Rhinolophus ferrumequinum: one gene and its partners. The protein of the gene in region 2 binds, or shares a complex with, the protein of the main gene of each other region. Links are inferred from orthologs where the notes say so. Each region holds a gene or a part of one and is shown on either strand. Other genes may lie near its edges. The genes, in order: IQCG, DRC1, IQCD and TCTE1.

Region 1 (6,899 bases), on a different chromosome or scaffold from region 2:
TACAAATTTACCAATGTTACTAAATACCACAATATGGATCAATCCCATTATTCATCTCTGAAATGCATCCAATGATGACTTATATCCCGGTGGGGAGGGAACCAAGTTTTTATAGCCTTCAGTTTCTAGGTGAACACGCTTTGATTAAGAACCAATATGGGAGCATTGAAAGTCCATTTAATTTTGCTACTTCTAATGACAGTGTAAAAAACTTCCTGATGAGACAACTCAACTGCTTAGCAGGGTTCAAAAGTACCCTGGGACCCCAACACTGTGGCCAAATCTATTAAAAATGGAGCCTAACTAAAGAAAACAGGAGCTATTTTAGGAAAATCATGAGATCTGGATTCAAAGACTTGGGCCCAAATCCTGGGACCCAAAAACATGAGCATCAGTTTTCTTCTACAAAATAAGGCCAATAACACCTACTCTAACGAGACTGTCATGATGAAAACATGGGAAAAATACTAAGAATTATGCCAGGAAGGGGCAGCCAGATAGCTCAGTTGGTTAGAGCCCGAGCTCCAAGCAACAGGGTTGCAGGTTCGATTCCCACATGGGCCAGTGAGCTGCGCGCTCCACAACTAGATTGAAGACAAGCTGCCACTGATCTCCCGGGCAGCTGGATGGCAGTTGGTTAGAGCGCATGCTCTCAACAAGAAGGCTGCCGGTTTGACTTCCAGTTTGACTTCCGCGTGGGATGATGGGCTGTGCCCCCCTCCCCCACAACTAGATTGAAAACGTCAAACGGACTTGGAGCTGATGGGTCCTGGGAAAAAAACACTGTTCCACAATAAAGTCCTATTCCCCTTCCCCAATAAAATCTTTAAAAAAGGGAGGGGGGCTCTAGAAGAGGGTAAACAGGGTCTAATACATGGTGATGGAAACAGAACTGACTCTAGGTGGTGAACATACAATGTGAGATATAGATAATGTATTACAGAATTGTACACCTGAAATCTATGTACCTTTACTAACTACTGTCACCCCAATAAACTTTATAATTTAAAAAAAAAATTATGCCAGGAAAAATTGAATTTTTATTTTCTAGCAATTACTTCAGTGTCCAATAAATATCTTTGCCAGAAAAATGTTCATTTAAATGCTTTTCCCCTCACCGCAGCTTTAGCAAAATCTGAAATCTAGGCACAATCCACTTGCATATTTTGCCTTCATTTTCCTTCTAATGCCAAGATCTGATGTTCTACATTTTACACAGTAGCCACGAATTTTGTAGCATAATCTATTAATGACATTTTATAATCACAATAGTTCTTAGAAGTCAAAGCCCAAGCCTTGAGCTTAGTTTGACTCAACGGAGTGTCATATTGCTAATAATTGGACTTACTACACGGATTCTGTGTCCTATGGCTTTAGCAGGAAGGTTGCTTCGGAATTTGGCACGAACCATACCACTGTTTCCATGAGCACGAGTTACCTTTCCCCAGATTACTCTGGTTTTGTTCGGTTTGCCACCAGGAGTAACTGTGTTACTGATTTTAAAAGGGAATAAAAGAGGAATGAGAACTCAGGCAACCACTACAGTGTGGTACAAATTCAAAATGACATCTAGACAGTGGCTCTTGAGCCTAGTTAACCACTTAGTGACATGAGAAACTTGAAAATAAGCCTGGGCCATCATTCATTCAACAAATACTTGAGTATCAACTATATGCCACGTTTATAAATGTAATTTTTAAAAACTTTGTAAAATAGAGCCATTTACAAAACAAAACTTTCAGAGGATAACTATGTAAATATAGCCTTCAGTTATATGTTAAGTAAAATGTATAGATTGTCAGATGGTAATAACTGCAATATATAATAATAATAATAAAAAACAATGGGAGATAAGAAGTTTGAGAATATTTGTGTTTGCAAATTTTAAATAGCAAAGAAAGGCCTCACTGAGAAGGTAACACTGAGCAAAGACTGGAAGATAAGGGAACAGCCTGTGTTTAAAACCTGTGGTTTGTGTCCCTGGCTTGTGGAAAGGCAGGAAATAGATATCAAGAGTTAAATCCTAGCTGGATTAAGAGTAGAAATTGGGAGCCTTGAATGCATAAGATCTTTAACGACTTTAGCTTTTACTAAATGAGATGAGGATCAGTTGGAATTTGAGCAATGCAGCGATGACCTGACATAATTTTAAAGAGCTCTGGCTGTAGAAGGAAAAGGGGGCAAAGATGAAGGCATGTCCCCAGAGATTTTAATTGGTCTGGAATGGGTTTAAGAACCAAGGATTAAGAACCAATGCTCTAGGAACATCTTTAAGTATACATATAAAACATAATTTCAAGGAATCAACGAAATGAATTAAGGAACATGTAAAGTACTCTGTAAAATTTTTAAATCATACAAGGAGTTGGCTCCTTTCTTGAAACATTTAACAGCTGTACCCAACATCATCCACAAAATAACATCCTTCTGTAACCTCCCATCCCATGAAGTTCCTTAAAATCCCAAAGTAGAAGGCACAACAGTACCAATTACTTTACCAACATCTTTTTATTCCTCTTTGAATAGGAAAATGACACAGATCAAATAAAAATGCAAAAAGTATAATACTATAAACTTACTTCTTTGCCTTGTACACATACGCACATCTCTTGCCTAGATAGAATTCAGTTTCATCTCGAGCATAAACACCTTCAATTTTAAGAAGAGCTGTGTGCTCTCTCTGGTTCCGGAGACCCCGCTTATAGCCAGCAAAAATGGCTTTGGACCACAACCTAAAACACACAAAGTATATATTAACCATAAGCTGTTGTTAATATCTCCTTTAAGTTCAAACGTCCAGTATAATATGACTTGTAACGACCCTCACCCAAAAGTTACCTAATTTCTCCCACTAGTTTTAAACTCGCCTTTAGATTCATGCTGAACAAAAAACTTCGAGTACAAAACAATGAAAAGCAGTACCTTCCAGACATATTTGTCGTTTTAGAAGTCCTGTTCCCAGCAGGCCTTAAAATAAACAAAAAAATCAGTTTAAAATCTCGTAACGCATACTCCCCACCTGGTCCCCTCTCGTCTCTTAAACGTGTTACGTTAAATTCCTTTTTGATCGGCATTTCACGCTGAGTGTGGAAACGTAACTATGCCATAAATACATGAAGCGCAGTCTGGCACGACATCCCAACCCCAAAGAATGCCTAATAGCTAAGTAAACTTGAAAATAAGTGTCAAGACTCTACACTAAAATAACCCAAAGAAACTCCAAAGGAAGTTCTAAGAAAATTCATGCCATGATCAGAAGGAAGATCAAGGAGTCAGAGAAACATGCAGAAAACAACTCTTTAGCAATAAATGGGAAAGAAAACCGAAGAAACTGTAAGCAAGCAAAAGCCAAGACTGGAATGGGAGCAACTGGAAAAAATCCATCCTAAAAGAGCCACTGCCTCAAAAAGGTAAATGCAGACGAAGTGCATCTGTTTCACTCCGTTACGGCCCAGAAGAAGCAATTCTGATTACGGGAGCACCCGCTCTCCGGACGTCAGGGGACCAGCACCATCAGTCCCATATCTCCTCCATCCTGTCCTCCCTATTGCTGGAATCCATAGAAATCAGTGGCTGGCAGTGCCTCCGAGCCGCAACAGTGGCTCAGAGACATATGTGGTTGAACGCACTCCAGTTATTTACCCCCAAATTTCAGCAGCACGAAAACCACTCACCTCCCCAGGCGCCAAAATGGCGGAAAAAGGAAGGCGAAGCCCCGCCGCGTAGCCTTGTGGGAAAAATACTTTCACCTCGCCTCCAGTTTAGGCATCTTCCGCGACCGCCAAAAAAAAAGCCTCAGAAATCGTCTTCTGACTGAAACAAGCCACATTTAACAACACTCTTAAAATTCTTCCCTTAAGTCCTTCCATTTTTGCAAGCTGCAACATGTATTATTTTTTAGAATAGAGGAAGGCAAAGTAGTAGCCAACTAAAAGAGAAGCAAAAAGTCCCTCAAAGCTGACCGTTGCCATAGAAACATCTTAGCGTGGTTCCTGCGAGCTCCGGTTGTAGGTGGAAAAAGTGAAGCCGGACGGGAGGACATAGCGCCGCTTGAGGTACCTCAGATTTGATTCGCCAATGTAGGGGTAGCTTTCCCTCTTACTAGACAGGAGTAGGCCAACGGAGACTCTCGGATCCTATCCTGGAAGAGAAAGGCCGGGAGCACAAAGGCAGGAGGAGCCCTTCTCTTTACCTTACTCCTTCCCTCCTTCTGCTCCTTTATCTCTTTCCAGAAATGAGTTACATTCTTACCTCCATCCTTTGATTTGACCCCGAGGGTAAGGAGGACTGCCCTGAAAAGACCTTACTCCCTTTTAGGGGAATAAGGTAAACTGTCAGGCTAACGGTCTGGGCGCCCAGCACCATGCCCACACGTTCACGTCTTCAGTAATTACTTGAATACTAGCATAAGATAAGTTAATGGACGTCAGAGATTTATATTTCCTAATTATTGCACATTTATTTGGGTTACCCTATGGATTCATTCATTTATTCAACAGTTTATTGAGTGACTCCTACATACCAAGTTTTGTTCTTGATTCGGAGGACACTGAACAAAACAACAGAACTTGACCCTCGTAGAACTTACATCCTGGTAGGGGGGAGAAAGACAATAAGCAAGTAAAATGTATGGCACATTAGAAGGTGATGTGAGAAACATATTCTTTATGGAGAAAAATTAAGCTCGGAGGACTGTAAAGGATGGGATGGGAAGCCATTTGAGATTTCTGTATAGAGGAGCTGCTCAATCTGACTTCCATTTTAACAGGGTCACTGTGTTGAGACTGAAGGGAAATAAGGGCACCATCTGGGAGATCGATTCGGAAGCTATTGTGATGATCCTAATGAGAGATTATGGCATGTAGACAGAAGTGATGAGTACTGGAATTCTGAATATATTTTGAATGTAACACTGACAGGATTTGCTGATAGATGAGGAATGAGAGAGAGAAAAGGATGACTTCAAAGTTTCATAAAATAGGTGTATATAAATCATTTAAAATTAGATCGTCTTATAAATACATCAAGATAGAATTTATGTACCTTTATAGCCCACTCTCCCTATCCAATTTTCTGTGTCCCAGAAATATACCAGAAATCCCAATATTAGAGAATGTACTCACAATCTCACTGTTAAATGTACTGTTATAGAAATCCAAAGATAAGTACTCCTGAGAGGAATAACACATTGAATTTTATTCCTTTGTTCATTCATTCATCCATTCTACACATACTTACTGAGAATAGTGCCTGAAACTTAGGATACAATAGCGAGCATTGTCATGGTTCCTGATTTCATGGAACTTAACAGTCTAGTGGGGGAAATTGACATAAACATTACAAATTATGCAGGAAAATACAAGTGCAATGAATGCTTGAACAGAGAGATCCTGATCCAGCCTAATGAGTCAGGGATAGTGTCACTTGGCAGAAGTATCATTTAAGACATTTTCCAAACTGGAGGTTATGGTACATTAGATCATGGTTATAAAACTTTCTAAGCAAAACATGATAGAATTGAAAATATCAGAACGTATCACATGTTATAAATTGTTTTATGAAACTTGTTATTTGCATGTATATTTACATATATACATATATATGTATATATATACGTGTGTGTGTGTATATACACACACACACACTACATATAAAAATGTATACATGTCATTGTAGGTCATTGTATCAGTGTTGCCCTGGAAGGAAACAGTTGGCAGAGTTGAGGAGAATTTAATAAGGAGTCTGCTTACAAAAGTATAGGCACAAGTGAAACTATAAGGGATGATGCCGTTTCCAGGCACATGGGAAAGAAGTTACCTGAACTCCCAAGAGAGAGCAATATGGAGAGGATTGCCTGACAGAACCCATGCATGGCCTTTGACAGAGAAACATTGCCAACCAGTGGTGATCTGGCAGGGGTATCACCACCTAACCTCACAATCCTACACTTTGGATCTCTTTTGGAATCTCCCATTGATGCACTCCATATGGATCAGTCTCTCACGGCACAGAAAATGGTGGAGATTGGATCTAGAAGGGCACATAGCAGATACCTAGCAAAATGCCACTGATTTAAGCTGCTACCTGATGGATCAGTGGGACTTTACAAGGTAAAGAAGGGAGAGGAACAGTTCCAGTTAAAGGAATAGCATATGCAAAAACCCTGAGTTGAAAGGGAGCATGATTCAGTTTTGACCAAGAACTGCAAGGCAATTAAAAGCTTTATTTGGGGGTCTTTTTTAGGAATTGCAATCCAGGAGACACAGATTTTGTTGGAAACCCCAACTGTGTTCTGAGGGGGAAAGAAAGAGACAGAGTTTGTAAAAACAGAAAAAGGGGGGTACCCAGAGGGATTACACAAATTGTTTTGAAAGAGCTGTGATTGGTAATGGCAAGATGAAGGAAGAAGCAGGAATGATTCCTGGGTTTCTAGTGTTGAAGAATGAGAAGCTAGAACAGCACAAAAGCACTGGATACTACATAAGCATAGCCCTGTCTTACCTATGTGAAGTATATTGACCTATGCCCCAAGCCGAAAAAATGTTAAAATAACACAACAAAAGAACAAAACCTTAACACCATGCTACTTCCTAAGGCTGTCCTGGCACCAGAAAATTTGGCTAGTTTGGAGTATGTTTTTCTCAGTTTATTACATAAAGATTGTTTTATATGTTTGAATTTTTGCATGTGAGATTTTTGTTGTGTGAGGCATATTTGTACCACTCCTCTCAGGATCACTTTATTGTGAACAAAATCACACTGGAAACTCACCATTCACTATTCATTCAGTATAGAGCAAAATTCTCCATGGAGAATTTAAAACTCTTTTAAGCAGAAAGGACTTTGGTTTACCAAGAAGGGGTAACATCTTGATAACTGTATTAAACTGATTTTCCAGA
Region 2 (7,693 bases):
AGTCCTTTATTAAATATCCCAGGAGCCCTGTCATTGCCATGGGAGACAATCGATTTTCTTTTTCGTGTTTGTTAAGTTATGCACTACTCCACAGGCACACAAACAGGCTCTCGCTCTCACAGAGCTTATAATTTCATTGGGGACATCGTGTGCACACACATTGGAAAAGTCATACAAGGCAGAAAATTATCCAAGATGAAATGAATTCCATAGACAAAAAGGGCTCAATGTGTGAATTAAAGTTCAGCCTGGGCTGCGGAGGAACTCATGGAAGGGTTGGAACTTAGATGGTCTTAAAGTGTGGGAAGGTAACCTGATGTCAGGAGAGAAGAAAGAGTAAAGGAGAGAAGGGAGGAAAAGGGGAGGAGAGGAGCTTGGTATTCCAGATGGTCAAAGGAACAAAGCAGGAAGAAGCACGCCCCACTGGAGGTGAGTAACTGGATGGGCCTAGCCAAAGTGGAGGCCCAAATTCGGTGATAATGGGAGAAAAGATTGGAGAGTTCAAATGTAGACAGACTACAAAAGGCCTTGAATGTCAAGCTAAATCATTTGGACTTTATCCTGTGAATAAATACCATTAAAAGTGTGGGAGCAAAGAAGACACAGCATCACATAAGAAATTATACTATGAAAGCTCAGTCCTAGAGAGCTCCCCAAATGGGGAACGTTCAAACTCAGTTCTGCCAAGAGACAGAAATAGAATCTCTATTGAGACTTGATCTCTACTGAGTTTCTTCTAGTCTAAATACGAAAACCATGGCATCACACCCAGCTCTCTAGTCTCACAGGCCTGAGAGGACTCATTTGCTACCCAGTTCATACCAGTCTGCTTTCTTCTTTCTGTTTATAGCTCTTGCTTTGATCTTCCTCACTCTCTTTCTTTCCATCTAAATAGTCTCCAAGCGCTTCCCTGTGATGGAAAACAGTAGAGAAACTGAAGTTATTTTCAGTACTTAAAATCTATATTCAAAGTTTCCGTACTACTTCATACCACATACAAAAATATACTTCATATGGTTAACAATGTAAATATAAAAAAACACAATCATAAAACACTAGAAGTAAATACAGGAGAGAGCCCATCTCAGAATAAGACCAAAGTTTGAGAGAGAAAAAAGATTGAATGATTTTACTTCCTAAAATTTTTCGATTTTATTCTTGAAAGTCAAGGGAGAAACCAGTAAAAGATATTTGATGAAATTTTGCTCTCTATAAAATAGAAAGGGCTCCTTCAAATCAATACAAAAAAAGACAAAATACCAAATAGAAAAGGTGGCAAAGAGTGTGAACAGGCAATTTACAGAAGAAATACGAATGGCAAATAGACATTTGAAAATATGTTCAACTTCACCTATAACCAGAAAAATGAAAGTGAAAACCCTATAAGGCATCATTACCCTCCTATCAGACTGGAAAAGATTTAAAAAGTTGATAATAGTATTTACTCACACTCACGGGGCCGTGTTCATTCTCCTGATCTCTGTCAAAGTATAGTCTGAATAGATCCGGACCATCTGGATATCTCACAGAACATCACACTGATAAACCATATCAGGATTAGCAAACTATAGCCTGTGTGACAAATCTGACCCACCTGTTGTTGTATGGCTCACAAGCAAAGAATGATTTTTACATTTTTAAATGGTTAAAAAAATATGATCAGGATGAACAGGCAGAGCACAGAGGATTTTTAGGGCAGCAAAACCATTCTGTACAATACTTAACAGTGGATACATGTCAGTATATAGTTGTCAAAATCCATAGAATACCAAGAGTGAAACAACATGGACTTTGGGTGACAATGATGTGTCACTGAGGTTCATCAATTGTAACAAATGTACCACTCTGGTGGGGATGTTGATGGTGGGGAAGGTTATGCATTTGTGTGTGGGGGGGGGGGATAGGAGGTATATGGGAAACCTCTGCGCTTTCCACTCGATTTTGCTGTAAACCTACAACAGCTCTAAACACGAATTTTATTAATTTAGAGGAAAAAAGATCAAAATACAAAGAACATTTTGTGACATATAAACATTACGTGAAATTCACACGTCAGTGTCCATAAGTAAAGTTTGGTTGGAACACAGCCAGGCCACTTTGGGCCCCGTGTGTCCAATGGCCACAGATGAGAAGCCACCGTCTCGGTAGGGCAGCCGACCCTGACCAGCCGGACAAGGTGTAAGTGCTGTTACATAGCGAGGGCGTTCAGGAATTCAGGGGGTCACACAGGTGCCTCCTGGTACCCCTGAGGACAGCCAGTCCACTGTGACTGAATGGATGGCGCGGGACGCCCTGGCCTGAGAGGGGTAAGGTTCTCCATCTCAGACTCTTCACGAGCGAGGCTTTGTGTCACACAACCAGATAAGCCACTGAAACCAGAAATAATAGCTGAGGTCCACTGGGTAAATACTTGTGGAGGAAGGCAGGTTGGGAGGAAGGAGAGACATCTCCGAGGACAGGCCATGCATGGCCTGCATTTCAGTGTATTCGCCACAGTGCCTGGTGCAGCAGGCAGTCAACAAAAGTGCTGAAGGGATTATTATTTCCGCCTTTGACTTTACTAGTGTTAAATGTTTTAGTGTCTCCTACTTTGCTTGCACCTGTTTTCTCTCTCATTAAGAAACAAGGCCCGCTCACACTTGGGGCACTCCGGCCCCTCACCTCAGGGGCTCCAGCGCCGGTCAACGGCTCCCCTCAGCCCCGCACTACCTCCGGGGTTCCGGGGCTCCCGGGTCCCGCGGCCGGCCCGCCCACACCCCGCTCACCGCCTCCGGGCTTCCAGGCGCGCCGCTATGCGGAGACGCCGGGCCTGGATCCGCTCCTGAGGGTTATCAGAATGGACCGAGGGCCGGAGAATCGAAGCGGATAAATGCTCCTCCTCTGTCTCCTCCAGGTCCCCCAGGGGTCCGGGCGGATTCATAGCGGTGTCTCCCCAGGCAGCTCCGCGGGGACCGCCGCCAGACCGCCGCCGCGTTGCTAGCAACAAGCAGTTACTAGGGAAAAGCAGTCACCTGACCCGCGGCGGAAGTGAGTGTACGCGCAGTTCTTTAGGCCCCGCCCACCGGCATTCAGAACGTGGTGCCCCAGCTTTGGGCTTTATTGCTCTCTCCTGCAGTTGGGGTGCACGGTCCTGGGCCACCACGAAGGCCCGGTCATATTAGCGGAGACTGGAAGACTAAAGAGCTGGACCAAGTTGTGGTTCATTGCTTACAGATGATGAATTCATCGTTCATTCACTCATCAAACGAACATTCCTCAAAATCATGTTCATCAGATATTATTGAGCACCTCTGTGCCAAGCGCTGTGCTAAGGGTATGGGTGTTGACCTTTCCTCATGGATGGTACAGAATAGGTCTGCTCCGAGCCTACTGCCTCTTTGGAAAGTTTGAACTAAAGTATATCGCATCCATCTATTCATCATCCATTCATTTTTGAGGTCCTACTTTGTGCATGGAGCACCTCTCTCCGCTAGAACGTGAAACCCCCAGCTATCAATAAATTTTTACCCAGCAAGGGATTGTTGTCTCCTGTAGCCGTTTTCAGTAGGGCTAAAACCTAGGACAATTCTACCACCACTACCCTCAATCACATACTTACAGAAAGAAGAAAGGGGGAGCAGAGGGAAATAGTACCCAGAGGCGTGGGGGGCCGGGAGAAATAACAGGGTACAGAAGCACAATTAAACCCTCAAGGAAGCATTGTCCCTTGAAAAAGCCCTATTTCCTGGGTGTTTTTTTGTCTCGTTGTCAACAAAAATAGTATTCTTCTTGAGAGTTAAAGCCCTTTAAAAAAAAACAAACTGGATATTTGACAGGGTCTTGTTCCATTGACCTGTGGGAAACTGGGGAAAGGGCTCTGGAGTAGTGAGAAAATGCGGGTCCTAGTCCTAGACCTGCCCTGCAGCCTTGGATAAGTCCCAACCACGTGAGTACCATTTTTCCAACTGGCATATGGTACTACTCTCGGCCTACTCAACTCAGGCAATTGTGGGGCCAAAGAAGACAAGCGCTTTGTAAGACCTCCCCAGAGGCAAAGAGTTTTGGTGTTTTGGATTTTTTGCAAGTCTACAAGTGATAGATTTAGGAGTGCCAAAATTCTGGAGCAAGTGCCAAAATCTTGGAACAGCCAAGAGTTCCAACAGCTGCCCAAATCCTTGTCCCACATCTTGGGGTGAGCAGTGGGGGTAGTAGTATGTTTGCTTTGGGGTTTTAGGGATCCGTCAAATCTCTCTCCCCTTTAGTTGTAACCTCAAGTATTAAACTTCCCTAGGGGCCATGGAATCAGAGGTAGTGCTCTGACCAGGAAGCCTACTGGTCCTGGCCCACGTTTGCACCACCTTGAGAAGAGAAACAAATCCAAGTGTGTGTGCACGACTACGGCTGGGAGTTGGCTGCCATGAGAAAGTCAGTGGGAATCAGCAGTTACATGGGACACGTACCATAAAAAGCGATGGAGAGTGATCAATAAGATACTTGGCCATCAAGGTATCCCCGATACCATCACTCCAGACAGATAAGGAATCTGACTCCCTTTTTTGCTGTTTGATTTCTGACAGCCTTTAAGCTTCACAGCTTTTTTTCCCTCTGCTCCACATCTGGGCAGCTGACTTTAAAAAACAAACAAACAAAGCCTGGGTGCTCTCTCCTTTGGCCCTGGCTGGCGGGAGGTTCCAACAGTGTGCATCCATCCCCACCCCTTAACCACAATAAAAGCCCTGAGCCAGGCTCCTTTCCTGGCTCTCTCCAGCCATCTTCCAACCAACTGGGAGATCTTCCTTGTGGTCAGACAGCCCTGATTACGTAATAAATCTCTTTAAAGACACTCATTCACTGCTGGTAGGTACCTTTTAGGACAGTTTGCCAATACCTCTCACTAAGTATATGCATGGACTAAGCAATTCTACTTAAAAGAATTATCCTGGGGATAATGGGTCTAGGCTACAGCTCCATTGGGTTAAAATTACGTCAATTTTATTCAGCACTGTTACATACAGCACCTAGCACAATAGCTGGTATGTACATGAGTGCTCAACAAATATTTTTCTAATGAAACGTACAATTTATTTGTATGCTCACTGCAGTTATCTGTAATATTATGGATGTAACCCAAAATCCATCAATAGGGGAACTAATTAAGCATTCATGGGATGAGAAACAATGTAGCCACTATAAATCTAACCTAGAAAGACATCCAAAATATATTACAGAGGAAGAGATTAGGCAGCACAATATGTAGAGGATGATCCCAATTTTATTTAAAATATATGTAGTATGTACACAAGAAAAATGAGGGAAAAACACAAAGTAGTTGATATCTCTGGGGGTTAGGTCTATGGATGATTTTTAATTCTCTAAAAAAATTTACAAAGAACACAAATCATTTTTCATGTAACAAAAAATAAAGTTTATTTTTTCATTTAATTTTTTTTTTTTTTTAAAGAGTGGTAACAGGAGATCCTGAAGAGACTGTAGTGAGCAAGAGTAGGGCTCACAGATGAGAGGTTTTTGGGGGAGGGACATAGGAGAATTCACTGGCCCCTGGAGTCTGGTCCTCAACTGGTAGCCCATATTCCAAAAGCAGACTTGCTTTTGAGAACTGACTTACACTAATAAGCTCAAAAAAGAAAAACATATAGAGAATACACTAATCTGAGCAAAAAAACTACAACTGACACACAGGGCATGTGTGTGTTTTATGACTGGTGACCAGCACATCTACGTGTCTGACCTACAAAGGGAATCAAACTATAACTGGGAAGTTTCTTGATGATATACAATGGACTCAGGAGCCCACGATGGGAACAACTTGCCACAAAGACTGAACAGGTCAAGTCCTTGGGGCATGGCACCCTCATCCCTGGGGAAGTTTTGGGTGACAAAAGCAAAACCTGGATATATGGGCTTCCTTTGCTATGCTACAGGCTGGTCATTCACTTCAGCTTAGTCTTCTTCCCGAAAAAGAATTATGTTGGTTAAATTTTGGCATACTAAGTCACACACGTCTTAATTCTACATCCATAAGGTCACACCGAATCACCTTAATTGGGATTTGGGGATTCATCAAACATTTACATAATTTCTTGGTTTACCCCTATCTCCCATTTGATATGAATTATACTAATAGATTCTCAGAAGGCAATCTTGTTTTCTTCATTTCTAGTTATTTTTAGAACTGTCTCATCATCATCTTTATGTATTGCCTACAAAAGGTATGAAAGGAGGAAGGGAAGTCATGAGTAGGTCATATGGCTTAGGGAAAACATCAAAGGTAAAAAACTTGAGAACTAGGTATTAGTAGAAATCAAGCACCTCCCTGAGACCACTCAGTGCTAAACACACTACATGCATTATTCATAACACGTAACTGTGGTGATACTAATCCCATTTTACAGATGAAGAAACTGAGGCTTAGAAAAAAATAAGTAACTTGCCCCGAGTCAAAGCTTGCAAAGTTGAACATAAGTTAAAAAAACAGTTGTTGGGGAGGCCGAATGGCTCAGTTGGTTGGAGCACAAGCTCTGAGCAGCAGGGTTGCCGGTTCGATGCCCACATGGGCCAGTGAGCTGCGCCCTCCACAACTAGATTGAAGACAATGAACTGCCACTGAGCTTCCAGAGGGATGGTCAGATGGCTCAGGTGGTTGGAGTGAAAGCTCTTAACAACAAGGTTGCTGGTTCAATTCCCGCATGGGATGGTGGGCTGCGCCCCCTGTACCTGGAGATTGAGGACTGGACTTGGAGCTGAGCTGCGCCCTCCACAGCTAGATTGAGGTCCGGTGACTTGGAGCTGATGGGCCTGGGAGAGGCGCACTGTTCCCCCATATTTCCCCAATAAAATTTATTTTTTAAAAAAAGTTGTATTAAAAGTTTGGGTGGCCTTGAGAAACTCAAAATGAAAACAAGAAGAAAAATGAAAGCAGTTAGGAAGTTTTCTTTCAGGAAATTTGTGATCAGAGGGAAAAGGATGAGAGCAGAAGAGGAACAAGACACGGTGGCAGCACCAGGTCCTTTAAAATTTAGATTGAAACCCAAGTGTGGTGACCTAGCACATACCTCTGGTGTGTCAGGTACTTGCTACACATTTGAAATGTGCAGATAGAAGGAAAGGTAACTGTGAGGGCAACCAAGAAGTTGGGAGGGCAGGGGATTAAGAGCACACAGCTGGATAATTAGCCTGGGTTCATATTGGGACATTTCTTCCTTCACCTTCTTCAAACCCATTACGATTTTTTTAAATGCCCATTGCCAGAACTGAAGAATAAATTCTGATGTAAAAAACAGGATGTAAAAAAATATTCTCCTCAAAAGCAATGCTAGAAAAACAAAGTTTTTATAAGAGCTTATCGTTCATATACTATAGTTTTGGGGTACTAAGTGTGGGTTATTAGGTTCTTGGAATTAGCCTGGAAAATTAACACCATACATTAACACTCTATGGGAAAATGTTTTGAGTATGAAACAACTACCTTACAAACTAATTTCAATGTGACCCAGGTATTATTATATATTGCCCAGTACCCATTTCTGGGGGAATCAAGAACAGTACATTATGAACAGTTGCTACTGCCAACTGCCTAGTAACTATGCTTTTTGAAACTAGTCACAGGATTATAGAACACCCAGGAGCAAACAAGGCTGATCTTTCTTAAAAAACAAAACAAAAAATCCTATTTAATGTTTTGCTCTAAAGACAT
Region 3 (8,010 bases), on a different chromosome or scaffold from region 2:
TGAGGCCATTTCCAGAATGATCCACACCCTTAGTATGTCAACCACCGTTCCTTACAGTCTATTCCTTTGTTGGCCATGGACAGGCCGCCCCCCTCACTAGGGGGTGTCCTACTCCAAAACTGAGACTGTCACATTCATTTATACCCCTTTCCCCAAAGCACCTTACACAGTAACGTGAGAGGAAAGACCAGATAAGCATTGCTGCTTACTAGTTGTGTAACCTTGGACAAGTTACTTAACCTCTCTGAGGCTGTTTCTGCCTCTGTAAAATACAGATAATGACAATTACTCTAGTTTGAGATTATATGATGAGATAATATATGTAAACCCTAAGAACCCGTGCTCACATTTATGAAGGGCTTACGAAGAAAAATGGAGAAGGAGGAAAAGGAGTGGGAGGAGCAGGAGGAGAGGATAAAAGGGAGGAGGGGAAGGAACTTTGGACTCACAGTCCTGGGTTCAAATCTGTACTCTACCACCGGCTGGCTGTGTGACCTCAGACAAGTTACTTAGCCTCTCTGACTCACTGTCTCCTCCTCTGTAAAGCCCTGATAATTCTGCCTACCTTGCAAAAGGATCTTAGTTAAGATAAAAGATAAGAAAGAGCCTAATACTAAGCTTGGGCATTAAGAAGTGTGCCTGAAACCAGAGTCACTGCTTTCTCAGCCCCGCACAGCTCGTAGGGAAAAGTCTTATTTACATTCTGACCTTCGTGGACCACCCAGTTCTGCCACCCTAGATGGTGTGGTGAACACGTTGAAGCAAGTTTATAGGGAGCCAGACCTCCCGCTGCACTCCCACGCACAGGAACACTTCATCACTTCCAAGGAGAGTCTACTGAGCTCCACAACACAACTCTGTTCTCTCTGGACAAAGGACATGGGAGGGCCAGGCTTATCGTTCCCTGAACCAAAGTGTCTTCACTTGCGACCTGGAGAAGAGCGATGCCCCTCTGTCCTGGCTCAGGGGCGTGGCTGCCAGGAGAAACATCTATCTGCTAAGGAGACCCTCAAGCGTCAGTCCCTAAATGTCATAGGACCCTCTGTAAAAGGCAGGTTATTTTAAGCCTCCCCTGGACCCAAGGCCTGAGCAAATGAAGCAAATGGCTTTGGGACAAGACCCAGAAAGGTTTTTAAGACCTCTCATTCTGCCAGAAACACACTTAAACTTTAAAAAATTTAAAGCTCACGCCCTCTCTTGGGTTCACTTTGTGCGAGGCTATGGTTTAGAGGAAGAGAAAGTAAAAACCTCAAACCCTCAAATCAATAGATCACGACAAATGCCTGTCACCTTCCATCCTGTCCTGGACAAGGTAGGACCCACAGCTAGAGCCCCAGTGTGGAGAAGCAGTCACCCCTGCGTTTCTGCCAACGGTTTCAGATTGGGACAGACGGAGGCTGGTGTTGAAATCTGTTGCTTTTTTTAACAAGGAATGGGGGCAGGGAAGCTAGCCAAGGAGCAGGTGTGCCTAGGTCCCCAGCAAGCATCCATGGGCAAAACCAAGGCGCCTGAAGATGCAAGGGAGGCAAGGCGCTAAGGGGGGTGCGGGCCCCTGGAAGCATTCCTAAGTTGGGGGTATAGGATTAGGACCCCAGAATCTCCCAGTAGTTTCTGTGTCCGATCTTGGAGGCCAAATGCAAGGTCAGGCATTTGGGTACAAGCTTTTACTATTAGACCACCAAGCCCACAACTCACAGCCTGAAGTCGCCCCCCGCCCTCCACCCCCAGCCCAGCCTACCATCTTACTTCTGCTAGGCAGCTCCTCTTGGCCCAGGCCGTTGGAGGGAGCCAGTGGGGCAGCCCCACATTCATCCAAGGTCAGGATGAGGGGAACGTCGTCATCTAAACTCATGGCCACGGCCATATTCTCCTCTCCTGCAGCCCTCAGGATGCGATGTCTAGAGCTGTAAATAGCGTCTGCTTTGAGCTCCCTTTCAAAGCCACTGGCCCAGAAGTGCTTCTCAGAAACTCCTCCATTTGAGGCATCTTCTAGGGTTCGGGGGATAAAAAAAAGAAAGACAGTTATTAAAATACAACATTAAAATGTTCTGGAATTAGACAGAGGCGATGGTTGCTTAATCTTGCAAATAGACTAAAAACCACTGAATTGTACCCTTTAAAATGGCTGGGTTATATGGTGTGAATGATATCTCAAAAAAAAGAAAAGTATTGCAGAATAATAGCATTAAAAAATGAGGAAACTAACCTCTGCAAGAACACGTACTGAAAAGTTAATGGTAATTATGTCTGGAGACTGAGATAATGACTAATATGTTCCACCGCCACCCTTTTCTGTCATTCTTTGTGTATGTGTTTTTTTAAAGACTTTAAAGACTTAAAAATATACAACCATTAAAATAATAGCAGTTAATACTCAGTGAGTGCTTACTACATACCAGGGACTGTTCTAGCAATTTTTAAATAAAGCTGACTGAAACTTCCTAATAGATAGGTAGGATTATCAGCCTCCATTATAGAGGGGGAGACTTCGGGCTCAGAGAGGTTAAGTAACTTCCCCAAGAACCCACAACTAGAAAACCAAACTTTTAAACTTTGCAATCTGACTCCCTGTGCTCCTAGCCAGGACACTACAATTTCTCCAAGTCCCAAACCTGGTATTTAGGCAGCACCTAAATATCAATGACCTGCAAAGAATTAGCATGTCAGGTCGCCTATACGGGCCCAAAGCACCCTTATATAGGCTTTATTCTCCTAGATTTAGGTTTAGGAGGAGGAAAGGGAAGACTAGAGTACTTTTTTAAATGATGTCCAGAGTCACACAGCAAAAGCACTCATCCTGAGCTCCCAATTTAAAACACTCAGAACTAGCCTGTTACAGCTCCTATTTATACACAATCCCATTTCCGCTGGGGAGGACCAACAGAAAAGCAAAGACTCAGCAGATCTGCCGGCAGACCTTTGAACTTGAAAACAACAGCAGGTTGCTTCCTCAAGCTGTGGCCTTCTGGGCTCACTCAACTTTGCCTCCAGACTAACCCACTGAATGACAACCCCCCCATTTACTTCTTTCACGAACCATTAGAATAATGGTTCCTGTGTGACAATATCTTCTTAAAACGAGGCAGCAAAAGTGAGCACTGTTCTACTAACTAAGCCTGTAGCTCTCTTCCCAGCAAACTTCCTGTGAGATTTTTGTTGTTGTTTTCTCCAGATCTGGGGATTTCTTTTGCTTTTAAATCTCAGTAGTGGAGGGACAGAAGAGGAACTCTCAAATGAAACACTACCATTTGGCTGTCTTAAGAATTATAGGTTTTATTTTTTTTTGGTTTAGCTTTTTCACCACAGGTATTTTCAAACATACTCAAAAGTAGAGACTATGTAAATGAACTTCCTTGTACCTACCACCCATCTTTGACAAAGATCAACATTTTGCCATTGTCCTGTACTTACTTTGAAGGCAGGAGAATCTCCTCTCCCTTTCAACTCATCAAGGTTTCGTAATCTTATTATTATCATAGTAGCTAGTGGATTTTAACTGTTTAATAATATATGACTGCTTGCTTGCATGCATTCTTAGTTCTCTGGCTCTCAGCTGGGGTTATTTTGCCTCCCACCCCCCAGGGGACACTAGCACTGCATGGAGACATTTTTGATTGTCACAATTTGGGGCGTGGGAGCGCTAGAAGATAGAGGCCAGGAATGCCACTAGACATCCTATAATAAGCAGGTGAGACCCGCAGCAACAAAGAAATAAATGATTCAAAATGTCAATAGTGCTGCTGTTGAGAAACCCCCACTTCACAGATGAGGAAACTGAGGCATAGAGCAGTTAACTTAACCTGTCTCTTATAAGTAAACAGCAGGGAAGTGGTAGAGCCAGATTTCAACCTAGGCAGTCTGAATTTAGGGATCCCCCTGCCTCGCCGCCGCTTAACCATTATCCTATGCCTCCGCTCAGAACCAGTTCCATAATCTGAATTTATTCAAACCCATCACTTTAGAGGGAAAAGTGAGGCCCGAGGGGGGTAAAGGACCTGCCCAAGGTCACCGAGTGCAGGGCTCCTGAGTCCTAGCTCAGTGCTCCTTCCACGGGCTTTGCGTCCGTTCTATAGAGGACCCAAAAGGGATGGGTGACCACTGGGGACAAGTCCAGGAAAGGGCCAGCAGCCTGTCCACTCGGGCAGCCTGACCGGGAACGAGTCTCTTTCGGGGTCATCCGAGGGCACCAGGGCGACGAGCAGTGGAGGAAGGAGGGTGAATACAAGAGGAGTGCGGGCTCCAGCTCCACGTGCTCCCAGCCCTGGTGTGGGCCCCCGCGTGGGGGTCGCCCCAGGAAGCCGGGGAAAAACAGAGAGGGTGCAAAACCCCGGCTTGGGCTGGAGGAAGAGAATCCAGCCATGACTTCCTCGCTGTCCCTCTGGGCCCGCCCTGACCACCTCCCACACCCAAGTACCCAGCGGCAACCCTTTACTTCGCGCCCTCTGACCCCTGCCCCCTGCCCCCTCCGTCAAGCCGTCCCTCGCACCCCTCGGATTCTTACACGCGCCGCCCCAGCAAACCGGACCGCGCGCCGGGCTCAGCACCGTGCAGCCCAGCCTGCCGGCGTCGCCGCCAAAGCCCCAAGCCGGGAGCTGTTGCAGCCGCCGCCGCCGCCACTTCAGCTGCTGCCACCACGGCAGCTGCGCCAGCTCTCCCATCCACCGCCTACTGTCCCCTGAACCTCCCCGGCCCCGCCTCATTCCCTCTTCGCTGAAACCTATTGGCTCCCTGGGTTGCTATGATGAGCTCTGATTGGCCAAGCCTCACGTCCTTCCCCAGTTCCCGCCCGCTGCCGATGCAAGATTCCCTGCCCGCCTTCCAAAGCAGGGGCGGGACTAAGAAGCTCCGCCCCTTTCCCCCTCCCATTCTCCCATCCTTACTAGTTCTGCCCAACCCAGAGTCTTTCAATTGGTGGAGGGTCAGAGAGACAGTGCCCCTGATTGGTCAGACCTCAGAAGGTGGGACGAACTGAGCCGAACGAGTTATTAAATGGTGAAAAAGAAAAATCAGTCAGACGCCTGGTCCCTCCTTCTGAGTTTGGCGGGTAACCTAGCAACGCAGGTACAGAGGTGGTAACTGTGAATACAGAAAGCTGGAGCACTTGGAGCAGGTGAGTGACCAGGTTGGGAAAGGCTGGGGATGAAGGGGAGATGTGGAATGGGGACCAGCTCACTGTCTTTGGCTCCCTGAGGAATCAATAGCCCCCACTGCGATCCCGTCCCCGCCCCAGGATCCTGCTCTCCAGACCCTGCCTCCCCCTCGACCTCCCCCTCGACCGCCTGCAAGGACCAGTGGACATCTTCGATGTACTCTACGCCTCCGCTTATCATCTTCATGGCCCCGCTTTCTCATCCATAAAACGTGGAGTCAAATGGAGTCACACCAGAGTTAACTAATTTCAAGTCAAATATAGGTGCTGGGGGTGAGAGGATAGTTTGTAAGTCCCCTTCCATTCCACCCAATGGCCATGGATTCCAGGGTGAGTATTCAATGAAAGGCATCTCACTTGAGTGAATGTTTAAATTAGGTCATTTTGATTATGCCAATTTTTGCCTTTTGTGCTAACTTTGAAACTTAACTCCCACCCCAGTCCTTAAAATGATGTCGTTTACAAATGTAAGACACAGGGTTTGCGTGAGGATTAAACGAGGTGAAGCAATGAAGAGCTTGGCATGGAACGGAGGAACATAGTAAGTGCTCAGTACATAGCAGCTTTTCCCCTAGAACACATGCATCCTTGACTCTGCCTGCTTAAAATAGCTCCAACAACAGAGTTATCTCTTTCCATATCTTGAATATTCATTTATTCAACAAGTATTTGCTGAGTAGTACTTACTACGAGATGCTGGGGTGGAGCAATCCGTACAACCAACGTCATTCCTCCCCTCCTGGAACTTGTCTCATGTGAGAGAGAGACATGAATCAAATATAACATACAGGTAAATTAAAAGTACATCTGCAGTGATTCCCTTCCAGAAGGATGGAGTAAGGAGGTCAACAAACCCTCTCCTCGAAAAGCAATGAGGGAAGGTTGTGATGGCTGAATTTTCTAATCGATCAAATCCGGGAGACTTTCTTATTTCCTGGTCCCCCTGTAAAGTGATCAAGAGGAAGTGGGATTCATAACTGGGATAACCCAGACAGGACAGGACAAACGGCCAAGGAGTGAAAATGGTGGGAAAGGCAAGAGTGAGAAGGGCTGAGTTCTGAGGTCACTGTTTATGCCTTGTCTGAATATAAAATGTTGTTAGCGGAAAGCAAGAATCTAGCCCACCATGCCTTTTCCCAGACTTCACCCTCCATCCAGAAAGCCCCAAACAGCCTTTTGACTGACAGGAGCTGTAACAAGGGCTGCAGAGTCTTCGTATCAGTCTCCTGGCTCCAGGCTCCGCGGGTTGCCCAGGACATCCCAGACAGAGCTCTGCCCTGGCTCGGGGTGAGGGTACTCTTGGGAACACACTCCAGGTCTACATGGGCAGATGAAAATGCTGGGGTTTTAACTTGGGGTTCTCATTTGGTTTGCAGTGAAAATTAAATTAAGGGGGGAGTCAATTGCTAGGTTTCCCCATGCGCTTTCCTTTTTCCCCCGGGAGAGAAGAGCTTGGGGGCAATGAGGCTGATGTACCACCTGATTCATGCCTGAACATATTATAATACTTCCCTTTGAAGAGGGCTTTTAACTCTCCAAAGGGATCTAGCAAATCATCCCTCCTCCACCCAGCTCCCTTTGATGTGGCTAGGACAGGTGTTTTATCCCCAAGTGCCACAGAGATAAGGGATTTGCCCACACTTATTCCCTGAGCCTCTGGCAGGGGCGAGTCATGCACCCAGGGCTCCTAACACCACCTTGTGAACCTGTTCTTGATCCTGTAACTGATGGTGGCTTTAGGTGGCACAGATGGCAGCTTGTCCCATAGAGCTGGACCAGACTTAGACAAGCCTTCCATTGAAGCTGGATGGAGCACTGGACTTGGGATGGGGAGTCCAGGAGTTTTCTAGCAGAGCAAGGCCATTGTGGTCTTGACCAGTGGTTCACAACCAGGGGCACCCTCCTACCCCGGAGGGGTATTTGGCAATATCTGGATACATTCTATCTTCAACTGATCAGCTACTCGTAGTAAAAGGATGATGCTATGGCCATCCAGTAGGTGAATAGGAACGCTGCTAAATCCTACAATGCACAGGACAGCCCTCACAACAAAGAATCATTTGACCCAAAATGTCAATAGTGTGGCAGTTGAGAAACCCTGTTCTAGACTGGCATTTTTATGCAAGGCAAATCACACACACACACACACACACACACACACACACACACACACACATATACACCTTTTCCCTGCAGGCCCTACTTGGTGGAATTGAAAGCAAAAGTGATTAAAAACCAAGATCGTTTGAAATACGGAGCATCAGCAAAAAGTATCTCTTTGACCTTAGCTCTCAAATAATAGCAGCGGGTTATATCCTACGACCAATGTAACAGCTTTGACATGCTTTCCAACACAGGTTGGTTTTTTAACCACAAACCAGACAAAGAAATACATTTTCCTTCTCCACGCAGCAGACACGTGTTTAATTACAAATGAATACTTACTACACGCAACGCACTTTAATGTTTTCTATTCGCTTTCATTTATTTTTAACTGGCAAATTGATTTCACTCACTAAGGACCACAACCCTTGGTTTCAACATAACCTGTCAGCCAGGAAAAGCCAGTGTCTTGCATTTTATAAGGTTATAATTTAAATATATTTTTAAGTAAGGGAAGTTTATGTGAGAAAAATTCTAAATCCATTACTACCATTGGATGTAACCAGAAATAAACTCTTCTAAAGCTACACTGTAACCAAAAGAGGAATTAAAAATCATGATGAACTTACTTGTAAGGAGGAAACTGGAAAATGCTGAGGAGTTTGGTGGATCTCTGTTCTCCTCCGTCACTAACAGAAAAACATGAATAATATAGAAACCAGAAAAATTAAAAACAGAAATAGTAAAAAGTGGTTCCA
Region 4 (7,477 bases), on a different chromosome or scaffold from region 2:
AGCAACAGTGGTGTGAGAGCCCCGAAAGTAAGCTGAGCAGCCCTGACCATCCTGTTCCCTCCCTACAGGCCCGAGAGGTGGGCCAGAGCCTGGCCCAGGAGGTGGAAGCAGCTGCAGAGCGGCTGAGTCGGGGCAGCCGGGACGTGGTGGAGGCTCGGCGGCTGTCCAAGGACATGGGACGACTCACTGATGTGAGGGCCACCCCAACATGGAGCTGCGCCCCCACCCCACCCCCATCTCCTGGCTCTGTGCCCCTCCCCGTGCCTCCTTGGATGCTTCCAGTCTCTCCCCAGCATTCCTGTGGGGCCCCAGCTGGCCAGCTACTTGTCATTTGTCTGCAGGGCAGGATGGTGGGGATGGTCTCTTCCCTGACCCTGCTGGTCCCTGCAGAGGCTGTGGTTTGGGGGGAGGGCAAAGGTGATGGACTGCTTCTGGCCACAGGCTGTGGACACCGCTGTGATGCCCCAGTGGCAGCGGCGGGAGCTGCAGGCCACACTGAAGGTGCTGCAGCGGCGTGCCAACACTGCCATCCGGAAGCTGGAAATGGGGCAGGTAGGAGGGGGCAGATAGCAGGCACACCCAACGTGGGTCAGAGACACTAGTGCACACACCGAGAAGCCTCAAGGCAAGGCCCTCTCCTGCCAGCTGGATGCCGTCACCTGGCGTCCCTACTTCTCTCTGCCAAATTGTCTCCCCAACTCCCAAGTCTGCCTCAGGCTCTTCCTCCAGGAAGCTGGTTGACGTGGTGACTCCCTTCGGCCCTAATTACTCCTTGACTTTCATCCTCCTTCCTCCTGCCCCCTCTCATCCATCAGTGCTCCAGCCTTAGTCCTTTCACCTTCAGCAACCTATTTGTAGGGTCCTGGAGCTAAGATGAAAGGACACAGGTGAGGGAGGAGAGGAGGGACATAAGTGGGACCCAAAAGAAGGAGGTCATTCTAGGCAGAACTCCTGGCCCCTCTGCTCAAAGTTGAAGACCTTTGCCAGGGGGAAGGAGGGGATTTCTGGACTGGGCCTCAGGTCAGAAGTGGGGGCCAGTTGCCCTCTAGCCTGACCCACCCACTCTCCTTCCTGCCCCACAGGCTGCACAGAAAACCCAGGAGCTGCTGCAGCGGCACTCAGAGGAGCCCCTGATTGTGGACACAGTTTCCACTGAGTCGCTCTCAGTGAGTTATTGGAGTTGGGGGGTGTCCCCAGGGTCTGGGAAGGGGAGTCCTGACAGGGAGGTAGCTGGGAACCTGGGGCCTATGGGGTCACCACCTGCCCTCCCTTACTCAGGTGCTGGTGAAGGTGGTCCGGCAGCTGTGTGAGCAGGCGCCCAGCACGTCCGTGCTACTACTCAGCCCCCAGCCCATGGGACATGTGCTATGTGCCTGTCAGGTGGCCCAGGTGAGGGACGTGGGAGAGCCGCCCCCACTCCTGCCCATCTCCTGGTCCAGCCCCCTAATTCCACGCCTTTTATTCCTCCCAGACAAGGGAGCCAAGGCTGGGTAGAGGTGATCTATGAGGACACCCCAGAACGGGGATAGGGCCATCTTCTTGTCCCCAACCACCGGAGAGGGAACCCTGAGATTCCCTAATTACTACCCCCCCCCTCCAGGCTGCACATCCCTGCAAACAAGTAGCAGACATTCACCAGCCTCCGCACACACCCCAGCGCACCCCTCGCCTGTCTCCACCCAGGGGCGTCACCGTGTGCCCGGCAAGGGAGGGGTTGCTAATCCCCACGATGCCACTCTCGAGGGTACATTGAATGGACAGTCGCACAAAGGGCTGCTCTGCATTGCTGCCCCTTCTGTTTCTGTACAGAGTGCTACGCCGACCCTCACAGCAGAGGCCTGGGCACTGGCCGTGTGCAGCCACATGGGGGGCAAAGCCTGGGGCTCTCAAGTGGTGGCCCAGGGCACCGGAAGCACTGCTGACCTGGAAGCTGCCCTCCGTACGGCCCGAGCCTATGCCCTCAACCAGCTCTGACCCAGGGACTCATACAGACTAAAGAGACAGCAGATAGGCCAGTGCCAGGAGCCCTGGGGAATCAGCAGAAGCTCCCCGAGGCTGAAGTAGAGGACTGGAGGCTGAGACCAAGCACCTGAGCTGAAGAGGGCCACGCTGGGCTGCTCGGACGCAAACGTGGACACAAGGAGATGTGGGCTGGTGAAGGCAGAAGTCGGCCCAGAGACACACCCACACTAGGTGAAAGTGAAAACACGGGCTGTCCTGGCTGTGATTGCTCATTAAAAAGTTTCACAGAGGAAAGGCAGTTCCAGAAGGTTCTTTTGCTTAAAAAAAGAGCAGACTTCCCCCTCCCAGCAACCTGGTATGGGGGCCCCATCACCAGTCTGACCCCTCACACTGGGCTGAAAGGCCACCCAGTACCACATCAGGACCAAGAGCGCTCGGTCAGGCGCTCTATGCCAGCCCGTTCTGGGCACCCACAGGGCCATCCCTGGCCACCAAGATCCAGAACTGTCGTGTAGAAGTCATTACAGCAGGGCAGACCCTCTCTGGTGTCACTTATTTCTTTAACAATGACTTGTCTTAATGAACGCCCTGGTGATTTGTTGATAGAATGAGAAACAGGTACCGGTCAGTTGCTGAGAATGTGGCAAGAACCAAACAGACAAAACTTCCTGCCCTTGTGGAGCTTACATCTAGTGAGGAAACAGGCAATACAGAGAAGAGGGTGTCAGAGGTGATGTCTATGGAGAAAGAGCAGCCTGGGGATCGGGTGGGTGGGGTGGTGGCATTGCCTCACTGAGGCGGCACCTGAGGGGAGGGTGTGAGCCACATGGTTTTCTGAGGGAAGAGCTGTCCAGACAGGGAACAGCCAGTGCAGAGGCCCTTAGGGGGAGAAGACCAGGCACAGTGAGCTGGGAGATGGCAGCTCATGGGCTCAAAGAGCAGGAACCAGGGCGACTTTTTGCACAGCACCTGCCCTACGCCTGAGCTGAAGCTGAAAATCGGCAGCTCAGAGCAGGAGGAAGCTGAAGGATAGAGGGCAGCCCTCCTTCCCTACCAGGACCTATCCAGATGCCGGAGCTCCACCTCTATTCCCAAATCTCTGTTGCTACATAAAGGAAAGGACCTCATGGACTCATCTTGAAGTCAAAGGCTCCTGGCTATTAAGTTCTGGGGCCGTTTACTTAAAATTATTAGAGTAGAGCAGGTCCTCCTGGCTTCATTTCCTGCACCATTTCTCATTCTGATTGAGGCACCTGCGGTATATTGGTAAATCACTGATGACGGCTTGAGAGGGACCCGAATCCCTGGTGCCTGGCCCTGACTGCTTGCTCAGCTCTGTGGAATTTGCAAAGCTTTACCTCAAGATCTTGGTAACTGCAGCTCACCAAGGGCCTGGCGCTTTACAGGGCCCGGCTCTTTACACGTGGACACTATGGTGAGAAGTTATACTCCCATTTACTGATGCGTTAACTGAGCTGCTGAGATGCTACCTTATCCAGGGTAACCAACTACCATGTTTCTCCGAAAATAAGACTGGGTCTTATATTAATTTTTGCTCCAAAAGATGCATTAGGGCTTATGTTCAGGGGATGTCCTCCTGAAAAATCACGCTAGGACTTATTTTTCAGTTAGGTCTTATTTTCCGGGAAACATGGTGGTAGAGCTGACCCTGAGCAGTGCAGGGAGCGGAGTTAGAGGAGCCAACCATCCTTGCAGTTGAAATCCACGAATAACAAATCAGCCCCCTGCATATGTGGATTCCCAGCCACAGATCAAAAATACGTAATCATCATTGGCGGAGCTTAAAGCTAAGTTCTGCCTCTGTGAAACTTGCCACCACTCTGGTTGCCTTTCTCCTCCTGAAGGGCAATTTCTGCTGCTTCTTAGCCAACCCCTTGAAGTTGGTCAGCCATGCCCTCAGGGGCACCAACCATGTCCTGTCACCCAAGGTTGGGGGGTAGGGGGCACCACATCCTGTCATCCAGGGCTGTGTTGGGGGCATCAGGCTTAGGACTGAGTGAAGGAGTGCTGTGGAGGCTGGACCCTTCCTACCTGGGGCCACACATCAGCCTTGTTTACATCTTAGAGAAAGGTGGAAGTTGCTCCTCTGCAGGGATGCTGCAGCCCACAGCTCTCCTGCAGCGCCTCCTGGCAACGGGAGGCCTCGGGAGTTCCAGTAACTTCCAGAAGAGACTGTTGATGCTTCTCCCAGATCTTCCTAACACTCCCATTTCCAACAAAATGTACCAAGAAGGAACGGCACTCCAGGAGTCCTACCCGAGTCCCCCATTCCTCAACTTCCCCCACAAAAGCCCGTTCATAAACGTCCCCCAGAAGCCCAAAGAACGCCTCATGCCACAGAGTTCCCACAGCCCGCACAGCGGCCCGGCACAGCGCATGAGACAAATTTCCTCGCGTCAACCCCTTGCCAAGGCTCGTAGTGACAACGGCCGAAGGACAGCCCTGCGCGCCTGCACCGCACCCGACCTAGACCTGGTGCAAGCACACAAGCGGACACGCGCATGTGCACACTGGCCCTCGAACCCGCCCCCTGGAGACGCCGGGCGTCGCTAACGACCGGTGCTGGCTGCGCGGGGGCCCTTCCGGAAGAAAAGTGCCTGGGTACCCGGAGCGGGTGAGGTGACCTCGGGGAGAGAGAACACTCAACTCTGGTTCTCCACTATCGGGCTGAACTCTCCCTGCCCCCACTCTCGCCCGCGGGGTGCCCTCAGCTCACCCGGCCTGAAGCCCGCAGATGGCCCCAGTCTTGGCTCCCACATTTCGCATGGCGGGGTAGTACCTGCGGAAGGTCCTCCACCCCCACACATTTGAGCCAGACCTGTGCCTCCTCTCCTGCCACAGTCACTGTCTGCAAACTGGCCCAGAGGCTTGGGTTTGCGAGTAAGGGGAGGCGGGAGGGTGGAGAGGGGACCTTAAGAAGGAGGAAGAGAAATGTGGGGCGTCCCGTAGGGTAGGTCGTGGAGGAGAGCAGCCCTAAGCCCGGGGACCCAGTCTTCTCAGGAAGGCTGATCCCCCACCCCCCACCCCAGCTCCTGCGGGCTGCACCCTCCTGCAGGTCCAGAAGCTTCCGCACCTTTTTCCCTCCCACAGTGGGGCTGGTTTCCCTTGGTTACCGAGGAGAAGCTCGGGCCTCATCACCCTAGGCGGGTTGGGGGAGGGACTCGCTGGCCTTTGGAGATGAGCTTCCCCGCTGGGGTGTCTGAGCTGAAGGTAGGGATGAGGGGTGAAGAGAAAAGCCGCCGGTCCTTTTTAAGACAACAGACTTAAGTGGACAGGAGTGGGAGGAGGGCCAGGCCCAGGGCCCTGAGCAGGGTGTTTGTTTCACTCCCCAGTGACCAAGCAGGCTGGGCCTGGACCCCGACAGAGAAACTTTTTTTTCCTTCTTTTATGATTCCACAAATGGGGAATTCCCAAATGGGAACTTGGTAGTGACCTGGCCTGAGGTAGGATCTGACATGATGGGCATGAAAGAGATCAGAGAAATGTAGACAGAAGCCCAAGGCCCTGAGGACAGATGCCCGAGATGAAGGAGAGGCTGGCTGAGAAGGCGTGGGAAGCACCAGAGAAGTGGGTGGAGTGCTGGGGCGCTGGGGGGCGCTGTGCCAGGTAGCCCATGGTTGTGTCCAGGGGCAGAGGTGCTGGTGGGCCTAAAGAAGGCCCGAGGCTTCAGCTTCTCGGTTCAGAAGAGGGAGGTGAGGACAACTGAGGACCAGGGGTGTGATGAGCAAAAAGGGGAGAGGGCTTCCTCCAGCATCTTCAACTTTCCCATTTGGGCAGGTGGGAGGAGCCTCTGCCCAAAGCGGTTACCTGGGAACTTGAGGAGGATGCAAAAGGTCTGAGACCTCCTCTGAGAGGACGGAATGTGTAAGAGATTCAAGCATTGAATCCTAGGTCTGTGAGGAACAGGGAGGGCAGTGTGAGATGTGGGGCAGGAGAGCACAGCTCTGCAGGATTCTCCTGGGTCCCATGGGGCCTCGCGCAGAAGGATACAGGCCGCAATCCAGGTCTGTGGAAGGACCCTGTACCTGGCAGTGATTTAGGGGGTAAGGGAGACTGGATTGTTTAGGTCAGCACCAAACGGGGACCGCCAGGCTCCACACTGGTGATGAGACGAGAGCGCTCATGAGCTGGAGAAATTGAGAGGTCCACGGGGAAAGTGTTGTGAACAACGAGCCTGGGGCATTTAGGCAGCAACCCCAACATCTCACTAGTTCTCATGCTTTTGTGCACAGAAGTAAGAGAGGACTTCGAACAGACATCCGCTGAAACCTCAGCTTATCCACTTACTAGCTATGTGACACTTAGCAAGTTACCGGTACTGAAGCTTTCCTTATTTGTGAGATGGGGATAATAGTGTTAAAACAACAATAATAATCCTCCACAATAAATCTGAAGATTTAATAAACGTAGGAAGGTCAGGCATCTAACGTCTTCATACAAGATCGGACCCGTATCTTGAGTGCTGGCTCTGCGCCCAGCACTATATGAAATGTCTCACACACATTAGCTCCTTAATCCTCTAGATAATCCTATGAAGTAGGTACCATTAAGAAATGGAGGCTTACTGGGGTTAAATCTGATGGGGTCTCTCAGATGCTAGGGAGCAGAATGGAGATTCGACCTCAGGCAGCGTAACTCCCGGGTCCTGAGCCAGCTGCTACACTGCCTCGTGCTGTGCACATGCAACAAAGGGCCTAGAAGTCAATAAATTGCAGCTCTATCTAGGCAAGGATATGGTTCCCAGAACACTTGTCCACGGATACTTGTCCAAGGATATGGTTCCCAGAATACTTGTGTCCACCGGACACAAGCCATCAAAACTAAGGACAATCCTGGCCAAACTGGGAGCATCTTATCACTTTATATTACCTGTGCAGGGCATGTAGAGAGCAGACCTTAAGACCTAATCCTTTGAGGTGTGGCCTGAATCTGACTTCAGGACCCTGGACCCTGGTCCTGAGGACTCAGGGTGGGGACCTGGAGGGGAGGAGGATTGGCCTTCCCCCCGGGATTGTGGTCCTGGGGTAGATTGGCCTCATGCTGGAGACATAGCATGTGAAGCTCAACAGGCCCATGAGACAGGTGCCAGGCGATGAAAGGTCACTGAGCATGCCCCTCTCCCCCATCTCAGAGCATGTCCCCCTTAGATGAGGACACCAGGTGGTGGCAGGAGAGGCACTCACTGCCGTTGGCCCCAACCTTCTCCCTGGAATGTCAGGGAGGATTCCTGCCCCGAAGGACTAGAGTCCTGAACGTGCTTCCAGCCTTCAAATTCTGGGATTCTCTGACTGCCCAGTGCGTTCCCCAGGGAGAGAAGGCTCCAGAGCGGAAGGCGACGGCTCTGCCACTTCTGGGGCTGCCCTCTATGGGCCCTTGGGGGCTGTATGGGTGAGGCCCCTGGATAATGTATGTCTACCCATCCCTGCAGGCTTCCAGGAAGGATTTTGCCACCTACTACCACTCTCAGCTGAAGACTGGTGATGCCCAGGCCAGA

Evidence for each region.
Region 1: DRC1 (region 2) and IQCG share a complex: the UniProt entries of both Homo sapiens proteins name them as parts of the nexin-dynein regulatory complex. The link is inferred for Rhinolophus ferrumequinum from reciprocal best matches to the Homo sapiens genes DRC1 and DRC9.
Region 3: DRC1 (region 2) and IQCD share a complex: the UniProt entries of both Homo sapiens proteins name them as parts of the nexin-dynein regulatory complex. The link is inferred for Rhinolophus ferrumequinum from reciprocal best matches to the Homo sapiens genes DRC1 and DRC10.
Region 4: DRC1 (region 2) and TCTE1 share a complex: the UniProt entries of both Homo sapiens proteins name them as parts of the nexin-dynein regulatory complex. The link is inferred for Rhinolophus ferrumequinum from reciprocal best matches to the Homo sapiens genes DRC1 and DRC5.

What each region holds. Positions count from the first base shown.
Region 1 is NC_046285.1:50,083,944-50,090,842, forward strand, and holds the start of IQCG (dynein regulatory complex protein 9), read left to right. Parts: upstream 1-3,894; 5' UTR 3,895-4,055; intron 4,056-6,899. Other genes in the region: RPL35A (60S ribosomal protein L35a), read right to left, coding at 1,349-1,493, 2,580-2,732, 2,923-2,933. UniProt on the Homo sapiens protein: Component of the nexin-dynein regulatory complex (N-DRC), a key regulator of ciliary/flagellar motility which maintains the alignment and integrity of the distal axoneme and regulates microtubule sliding in motile axonemes.
Region 2 is NC_046296.1:54,081,033-54,088,725, forward strand, and holds the start of DRC1 (dynein regulatory complex protein 1), read right to left. Parts: upstream 3,009-7,693; 5' UTR 2,921-3,008; coding exon 2,766-2,920; intron 911-2,765; coding exon 823-910; intron 1-822. UniProt on the Homo sapiens protein: Component of the nexin-dynein regulatory complex (N-DRC) a key regulator of ciliary/flagellar motility which maintains the alignment and integrity of the distal axoneme and regulates microtubule sliding in motile axonemes.
Region 3 is NC_046308.1:8,016,884-8,024,893, reverse strand, and holds the start of IQCD (dynein regulatory complex protein 10), read left to right. Parts: upstream 1-4,999; 5' UTR 5,000-5,110; intron 5,111-8,010. Other genes in the region: TPCN1 (two pore channel protein 1), read right to left, coding at 1,747-1,986, 4,502-4,658. UniProt on the Homo sapiens protein: Component of the nexin-dynein regulatory complex (N-DRC), a key regulator of ciliary/flagellar motility which maintains the alignment and integrity of the distal axoneme and regulates microtubule sliding in motile axonemes.
Region 4 is NC_046286.1:13,516,759-13,524,235, reverse strand, and holds the start of TCTE1 (dynein regulatory complex subunit 5), read left to right. Parts: upstream 1-4,462; 5' UTR 4,463-4,597; intron 4,598-5,136; exon of another isoform or gene 5,137-5,193; intron 5,194-7,411; exon of another isoform or gene 7,412-7,477. Other genes in the region: AARS2 (alanine--tRNA ligase, mitochondrial), read left to right, coding at 69-191, 442-552, 1,083-1,166, 1,279-1,389, 1,810-1,974. UniProt on the Homo sapiens protein: Component of the nexin-dynein regulatory complex (N-DRC) a key regulator of ciliary/flagellar motility which maintains the alignment and integrity of the distal axoneme and regulates microtubule sliding in motile axonemes.